Linked DNA regions of Kluyveromyces lactis. The protein of the gene in region 1 interacts with the protein of each later gene in a biochemical or structural test. Links are inferred from orthologs where the notes say so. Each region holds a gene or a part of one and is shown in the gene's direction. Other genes may lie near its edges.

Region 1 (4,274 bases):
AAGTCTCCTTTGTTCTATGGGTATCCCAATATCAATTGGTAGATTTGCAGTGATCCCATGAATTACCAATAAATTGATTAGGGTATCAAAATCCTTCATATCATGTAATGAGATCGGTATTATGTCCGCATTTTCTTGTTGTTTTTCTGCGACTAGACTACATAATCTAGTCAAGAACTTCGCTAATTTTTCTATAAGTTCCTTGTTGCTTAAGTTTAATGATTCGTAGATATCACCAATATCGTCATTATGTTTTATAGGTTTAAGGAATTCATCTAACTCTTGAAAGAATGCATCAATTGGAGTATCGCTTACGAAATCAAGCTTCCTAGATAATACTTCTGTCAATTTATTTGACATTTTGTGAAACCGATGTCAGGTCTTGAAGGCGCAGCTGACACTCTCCCGATGTAGGCGTGATCATGTTGTTCTAAAGAGAGGTGCTCAGAGATGTCCTGAATTATATTTAAAGCCTTTAGCACATCTATTTCGGAGAAAAAGAAAAAGTAACCTTTTAACATGAAAAATTGAAAAGTTCACAGAATTTGGATTATGAGATGAGATGAGCTAAGATATGAACAGAGAACAGGAAAACTACGCAATCAAGCCCAAAATACAGAACGAAATTATTGTAAGATGAGTCTACATACAGGACCTTTAGATCAAGAAGATCAAGAAGCTATCATCGTTGATGCAAGAGCTGGAGATTTGGAGTCTCTTAAGGATATTTTTACCACTTTGATAGATCCAAGTGCACTCATTGAATGTACAGATGAATTGTCTAAGTCATCTGCCTTGCATATGGCAGCCGCCAACGGTCATTTCGAGGTGGTAAAATATCTACTAAGCATTTTCCCAAAGGATAAACTAAAGGAATGGGTCAACAAGCAAAACGAAACAGGTAACACTGCATTGCACTGGGCTTCGTTGAATGGTAAATTGGATATAGTACAGCTTCTTTGTGAAGAGTATGAGGCTGATCCATTCATCAGGAATAATTTCGACCATGATGCCATCTACGAAGCTGAAAACAACGGACAAGAAGAGATAGAAACATATTACTTGAAGAAGTTCGACGTGGAACCCGAATCGACCGAAAATGAGGAAGAAACTTCATCGGAAAAGGAAGGAGAACAAGCCTCACAGCCCGCATCTATCGACAACGTCCAATTTAGAGAAGGTACAGAGATTGAACAAGTGACCAAAGAAGCTACAGAAGCTCTAAGAGAGCAAACTGAAAAGCTTCAACTAGAATAAGTTTCCTCTGAAAATGAACCGTGGTCAAAAAAAAATCATTCGGCTGGAAAGCTGTATTGTGGCCAATTTGAGCATAAAATATGAACCAAATGTCCATGTACATAACTGTATACTAATCATCAATAAACATAGGTACACCTACCTCATGCGCCCAACAAGCGGAGTTTTATCTAACCAGACTCAAAGGCCAAAGAATAGATAAGTCACGTGTGTTACCCGAACACTGAACGTGCACAATGACAACACTATCGCGTGGCCTGGGAAAATTTTGAAAATAGTGAGTTTTCGGAAAACCAAGAGAATTGAAACGACTGGATCGCAATTGTCATCGCTATTCAATATCCTATTGGATTCTTCAGCTCATATTTGCACAAGGGTAAGACAACTTCTGTGGAAATCTGTTGGCAAGAGTCTAGTTCGTGTAAAGTTCAAGGCCCTTTCCGTTATTACTAAGGAGATTAGCAAGAAGCGAGAAGATACAAAGATACTCAACGATGACTGATGTTGCGGCCGACTTAGGATTCGATCCAACGATGAAGAAGAAGAAGAGCAAGAAGGTAGTTCCGGAAGAACTGATTGCTGCTTCCACCGAGGGAACAGATGATCTTTTTGCTGGTTTGAAGAAGAAGAAGAAGAAGAGCAAGGAAGGTGAAGAAACCACTGAGAAGCAAGTGGACGACATTTCAGATGCTCTAGGCGAATTGAAGTTGAAGAAAAAGAAGAAGAAGGCTGCTGCTGCCGAGAGCAGTGTGGATGACTTTGAGAAGCAATTAGAACAAGCAGGTATTTCAGTCGATGATATTGCCAAGGAGGCCACTCCAACTGAAATCGATTCTAGCATTCAACAAGATGTTGGCCTACCATACCAAGACCTATTGTCTCGTTTCTTTAAGATTTTGAACACAAATAATCCTGAATTGGCCGGTGATAGATCAGGTCCAAAGTTCAAGATCCCTCCACCAATCTGTCAAAGAGATGGTAAGAAGACTATATTTGCGAACATCCAAGAAATTAGTGAAAAATTACAAAGATCCCCAGAACATGTAATCCAGTATCTATTTGCGGAATTGGGTACCTCAGGTTCTGTTGACGGTCAAAAGAGATTGGTCATCAAGGGTAAGTTCTTGCCAAAGCAAATGGAAAATCTATTAAGAAGGTATATTCTGGAATATGTCACCTGTAAGACTTGTAAGAGTATCAATACCGTATTGAAGAAGGAACAATCGAACAGATTGTTCTTCTTGGTTTGTAAGAGTTGCGGTTCTACTAGATCCGTTTCCTCCATCAAGACCGGTTTCCAAGCCACCGTCGGTAAGAGAAAGAGAATGTAGATTAATTGATATGACGTATCAAAATAGTAGTATCATTAACATCTACCGAAAAATCAGAAAAAACTTCGACAATCTTCTAATGTTCAATACGATACAGTTCGAAAGGAATCAAATAAACCTCATAAGGCATAGCTAATATATTCATGGTTGAATATTTTCTCCAGGGAGCATCGCATCGTGCAATTCACACATAACATATGAATAACACCAAATACTTGAAAAGAAATGAGAATAGAAGGTATCTTCATCCTTCTTTCACGTTCATTATTAATTTTTTTTCTGTTTGTGTATGTTATCTAATGGTTTTTATCTAATCTGTAATTTAGTTGTTATAAACAAAACGACGAGATCAATGCTCTAAAAGATCAATTTAAATTTAAGCTCTATAATCTGAAACCCTTCCCCCAGTTAAAATATCATATCTGTGCATTTTCGATCAATTTACGGAAAGAAGGACACCACGAATTCACCGACATATCCGACAGCATCCATTTTGTAATTAAATCTGTAACCCGTTTTGAATCGTTCAAGTTGGCGAATATTTCACTCAACGCATATCTTGTGCCCTCGTTTTCCAATACATTTTCTAGAACCTTATCCACCTTAGTTTTATAAAAGGAAAATTCCTTATCTTGTAAGTTACTCGGTAACGATGTGATCCATTGATATTTATCAGACAATTCCTGTTTGCTCAACGCTACGATGGAAGTGTCGAGACTTTCTGTACTTCTTAGTTTTTCACTAACTTTACGCTTCATACTTGGAGGTGGTACTGTTGCCATCCTTGTATTCCCTGAGGTGTCCACACTTTGGGACACAATTCTCTTTGGTGCTATACTGGCAGCGCCCGGATAAATGAAACTAGGACAATCATTGTACCCTGGAATTTCTGTCTCCCTACAGTTCTGGAAACTCCTAGTTCGATTCATTCCGGATGACTCCATTGTGTTAAGTCGTGGTACTACAGCAATCCTTTCTCAAAACAACAGATCGATTTGTTGATTTAGTTGGAGCATATGCGAAATACTCTAAGCTAAGCTAGTTGCTGAGAAATGAATTGGTCGACCTTACTGGTTAGTATTCTCCTTCTCACAGTTGTAAAGATGACAGCTGTTAACAAAAATAGCCTTGTTGGATTATGTACACCTTAAATTTTTTTTTTTTTTTTTTTTGGCGAACATCAGTTGGAAATCCATAAGTACGCATTGATACTCTGACGGTCTTGCGTATACTTGACTCAAAATTATCGGCAAACCTGCGACGTCACCACGCACAGTACACTGCAGAACCGAGTTAGATGGACATTTTACTATTTAGTCTCTGACCGTTTAGTATTTTTTATTATAATATTGTGTATACTGAGAATCTTTGTGAAAAGGAAACCACCAAATCATTGTGTCAGCGAGTTTTGAACTACAAATTCCAGCAACTTGGCTGGTGCCTGTGGATTAGAGATATTGCTGAATCGACCAGTTGAATGGTTGGCCGGAACAATAGTCGGGTGTTTTTAATCTAGTACCCTTTTCTTTTCCGGCATGTGGCAGTATCTTATCTATGACAAAAATCGTTCACGAGAATAGAGGACAAAGCCAAGGGCGAGACGATATTGATAATCATCTGGCTTCCCTCTCCTTTACGTCCGAAAGGAAGTAATGCATCTCTTGAATCATATCCTTGGTCTCGAAC
Region 2 (4,693 bases), on another chromosome or scaffold:
TTATTGCATAATTTTAGTGTTTCATGTTACGAAATCCCTTCTTCCATTAAGAAACATTTGAATCCACTTTTAGAGACAATCTCGATAAGATTAACGAAAAAGCAAGCTATACCCTGTTTACTTGAATTTTTAATTGCCTTATCAGATTCCCCACAGATTATTTCTCCATTAACAATTGATCAATTGAAGCGTGTGTTTACCATTGCATTCAAATTGATCGAAGTATCGCATGATTTGAAAGAGGAGGCTGAAGAAGCGGATTTTGTGCGACACTCATTTACAGATGAACAGGAAGCATCTTTCAATCCATCTACCAGTAGTTTTACTGTCACCAAACAAATGGCACATTTTTATCTGACACTATCGTATCAGATCATATCACATTGGTTCATCAGAATTTCATTATCCAAACGACCATTGATAGCACCTTTTTTGATGGTAAAATTATCAACATTAAAACGTTGTGACGATACTGAAGCTTATAAGGACCTTGTTACTAGATTTACTACTACAGATTTAGAATTAAGAGTGGAGACAGTTACTTCAGATACTCCCAACAGTGGAGATCCGCATTATTTACATGAATACTGGTATCGAGATGGTAAAATCTTAAGCATAGAAGTAAACACTACAACCGGAGCATCATTAGTTGTCACTAGAGGTGCATCCGGAAATTCCATCTTCAATGTGGATCCCATAGTAAAGAAGGAACCTGACAGTTTTGATTTATTCCAATTTGGTAAAAACACCAAACCCGCCTCTGCAAATATGTTCACGCCAGGGTATGTTCTTGCACAATTTAGTGCAGAAGATACGTACGAAGACATGGTTCGGATCGAAGAACCCCACTTGATAAAGTCTATTCAGCTTGTTGATACTATCCCAGTGGTCGAATTTCACAAGATTGGATTGCTATACATGGGACCCAATGACACAACTGAAAAGGATATATTGTCACACTCTATGGAGGATGGATCCCATCAATACAAATGGTTTGTTAACGAACTCGGATCAATAATAAAACTTGATCAAAATGAAACTTTTTACATCGGCGGTTTGAATCCTGGTACAGATGGAGAGTACGCGTTGATCTGGCATGATCAAAAATGTCAAATCGTGTTCCATACTGTATCCCTAATGCCTAACGACGACAAAGCAGATCCAGATCGAACAATGAAAAAAAGACACGTTGGTAATAACTTTATCAACATATATTACGATGAACGAAAACAGGACTCGTTCCCGTTTGACATAATCAAAAGTCAATTCAATTTCATAAACCTTGTCATCAAACCAATGTGGAACGGCAAAGATGAAAAAGACTCTGTGAGTGAATTCTATAAGGTGAAGATTTACAGAGCAAAAGAAGTTCCTGGTATATTCTCTACATCCCACTTCAAAATCATGCATAGGCAGCGCCTCGCAGCGTATGTCAGGCATTTATGTACTGTCGCAAACACATTCGCACAAATTTGGCACGAGTCCGTATCGTCAGAACACTGTTCTACATGGTCTCGCAGATTCGCACACATCAAAACAATCAAAACGAGGCTAAAAAATCAATCTTCTGGCGCTTCTTAGCACGATCGCATCTAGTATGGGTTACTGGTAGTTAGTATCTCTGCAGCTTAATACCTGAGGGCCATTAGTAGTAAGTAATGAAACTTAATTATAATAGTTAGGTCACGTGTAGTACATCACTCTTAACGAGCAGATCTAAAAATTTTTCGAAACTGTGATGCGAAGTATCAAAAAATTGAAAAGATTGATCATTGGAAAGCATATACAATATTGAAGCAACAAAGCAATTTCAATATCGGTATACAAAGGTTTCCAATTAAGCTTCGAACTTACGCGAGCAGTCTCTGATACCGAGGAATTTAATTTATCTGTATCTTGCGATAGATAACGATTACAAACAGAGTATACTTTCTTTGAGTTTGTGGTATATCTTCCAATTGAAAAATTACACAAGAATTTATCATCAGAGCCATTAGATATACAGAGCAGGATGTCCACTTCCAATTGTAGGTTTTACGAGAACAAGTTCCCTGAAGTTGATGATGTTGTGATGGTAAACGTCCAACAAATCGCTGAAATGGGTGCTTACGTTAGATTATTGGAATATGACAACATTGAAGGTATGGTTTTGTTATCTGAATTGTCAAGAAGACGTATTAGATCTATCCAAAAGTTGATTCGTGTTGGTAAGAATGAAGTTGTCGTTGTATTAAGAGTGGATAAGGAGAAGGGTTATATTGATTTGTCTAAGCGTCGTGTTTCTGCAGAAGATGTCATCAAATGTGAAGAAAGATACCAAAAGTCCAAGGCCGTACATTCCATCTTGAGACAATGTGCTGAGAAATACCAAGTATCATTGGAAGATTTGTACAAAGCTTATGCATGGCCTTTAAGTCGAAAGTACGGTCATGCTTACGATGCCTACAAGATGTCCATTGTGGACCCTAACGTTTGGGATGGTATTGAATCTATCAGCGACGAAATTTTCCAAGAATTGAAGGGCCAAATCACCAGAAGATTGACCCCACAAGCGGTCAAGATCAGAGCAGATGTCGAGGTTTCATGTTTCAGTTACGAGGGTATTGATGCTATCAAAGAAGCCCTAAAATCTGCTGAAGAGTTGTCCACTGAACAAATGCAAATCAAAGTCAAATTGGTGGCTGCCCCATTGTACGTCATCACCACCCAATCTTTGGACAAAGATCAAGGTGTTCAACTATTGGAAACTGCTATCGCAAAGATCGAAGAAGTCATTCTAAAGTACAATGGTGTCTGTAATGTCACAATGGCTCCAAAGGCTGTCACCGCCACTGAAGATGCTGAATTACAAGCACTATTAGAATCCAAGGAATTAGAAGGTAGATCAGATTCCGAAGATGAAGACTCCGATTACGAATAGATGGTTTAAAGTGAAACCAAAAAAAAAGGAATTAAAAAGATATACTTCTACTGCTTCCTGTTGTTATACGTGTATACAGCGTTTCGATACCTATAAGTCTTTGCATGTCCTCTCTCCATTTCTTACTTCACTTAACATTGCATTATATTTACTGATGAAGATGAAACAAAAACAAAAGGCCATTTTCTAACAGATGTTCAGGTAATAAACCTATGTTTCCACTTGACTGTGCAGAGAACTACTCTAGCATTTGAACAGGTGGTATCTGCCAATTACTGTCAGCCTTTCCATTCGATTACGACTGGACGTTTTAAAGGATTTTTACATTAGGAAACTCCCATTTTCCTTTTTTCTAGTTTCTTCTTATAATAATAAAGGGAAGCTCCATAAATCCTTATTTTGAAAAAAGAGTGAAAAGTCTTTAAAGTACAACGAAACGAAACTTCTATGTAGTAACATTAGCACATCGGGTATTTCATTTAAACGTGTATAATAAACTAATTCGAACGTCAACGTAATTTGCATTTATTCACAGCCTAGTTGGGATCCTGTATGGTATTTCATCGCTAGGCCAGGAAAATAATAAGAAAAAAAGGGAAACACATAGACAGATATAAGTCGCAATAAGATGAGTTCAGTAAGACCAGCTACTCATGCCGGATCATGGTATTCTTCTTCTCCTGCTTTGATAACTACGTTGCAACAACTATTGTCAAGAGACGAAGCGGTTCCTGGGACTAAGCATTTGATCTCTCCGCATGCTGGCTATAAGTACTGTGGGGATACGATGGCATTAGGATATTCCAAACTAGACTTTACTAATGTCAAGAGGTGTATCATAATGGGTCCATCACATCACATTTACTTTAAGAACAAGATTCAAGTTACCTCATTTGATGAGGTTAACACACCATTTGGAGACTTTAAAGTTGATGGTGGACTAAGAAATGAGTTGTTGGTTGGTGGGAAAGTTGTCTTGATGAGTAAAGAAGTTGATATGGACGAACATTCGCTTGAAATGCAGTTTCCGATGTTATGGGCAGCAGCAAAACTAAGGGGTGTGGATCCTACCAATATAAAGATTTTACCGTTGCTAGTATCGCACAATTCAACAAAGGTTGACTTCGAGTTGGGGAAACTGCTACAAAAGTATGTAGATGATGAGGAGACTCTTTTCATCTTGAGTAGTGATTTTTGTCATTGGGGTCGTAGGTTTGGTTATACCGGATATGTAATGGAATCTAGTGATATTGATGAAAGTTTAGAGAATGATAGCGAAGTGGAATATTTGACCCAACGATCTTTCAACCATAAATCCTCACACAACGTCCCCATCTACAAGAGCATTGAAATATTGGATCAATATGCCATGGATATCTTGGGTAAGAATACAGAAAACAAATACTATGATTGGAAGAAATATATTAATGTTACTGGAAATACAATTTGCGGTGAGCGACCTATTGGGGTATTCTTGTGTGCTATGTCACTGTTGAACAAACCATATCAGTTTAATTGGGCTCATTACTCACAAAGCAGTCAATGCGTTGATTTAGAGGATAGCAGTGTAAGCTATGCATCTGGATACTTCTAGTTGATTATCTAGTCTTTATGTGTAAACTGTTTATGAAAGAAATTAGTTCGATTAATAATAATGAACACGATTACCTATTGGTATAACATGGTTAGAAAACCGTTTTATTAATAAATTCTACGTAGTTATGTGGAATCATGAAAAGTAGATTAACATAGTTGGGACATTAATTGCTCAGC

Evidence for each region.
Region 2: the proteins of SUI3 (region 1) and SUI2 form a complex in vitro, tested with the Saccharomyces cerevisiae proteins (3 studies listed by BioGRID). The link is inferred for Kluyveromyces lactis from reciprocal best matches to the Saccharomyces cerevisiae genes SUI3 and SUI2.

The regions. Positions count from the first base shown.
Region 1 is NC_006040.1:750,192-754,465, forward strand, and holds SUI3 (translation initiation factor eIF2 subunit beta), read left to right. Parts: upstream 1-1,751; coding exon 1,752-2,588; downstream 2,589-4,274. Other genes in the region: RTP1 (Rtp1p), read right to left, coding at 1-360; YAR1 (Yar1p), read left to right, coding at 637-1,257; ADD37 (Add37p), read right to left, coding at 3,005-3,532. UniProt on the Saccharomyces cerevisiae protein: Component of the eIF2 complex that functions in the early steps of protein synthesis by forming a ternary complex with GTP and initiator tRNA.
Region 2 is NC_006037.1:1,019,515-1,024,207, forward strand, and holds SUI2 (translation initiation factor eIF2 subunit alpha), read left to right. Parts: upstream 1-2,011; coding exon 2,012-2,920; downstream 2,921-4,693. Other genes in the region: KLLA0_A11792g (uncharacterized protein), read left to right, coding at 1-1,581; MHO1 (Mho1p), read left to right, coding at 3,549-4,514. UniProt on the Saccharomyces cerevisiae protein: eIF-2 functions in the early steps of protein synthesis by forming a ternary complex with GTP and initiator tRNA. This complex binds to a 40S ribosomal subunit, followed by mRNA binding to form a 43S pre-initiation complex.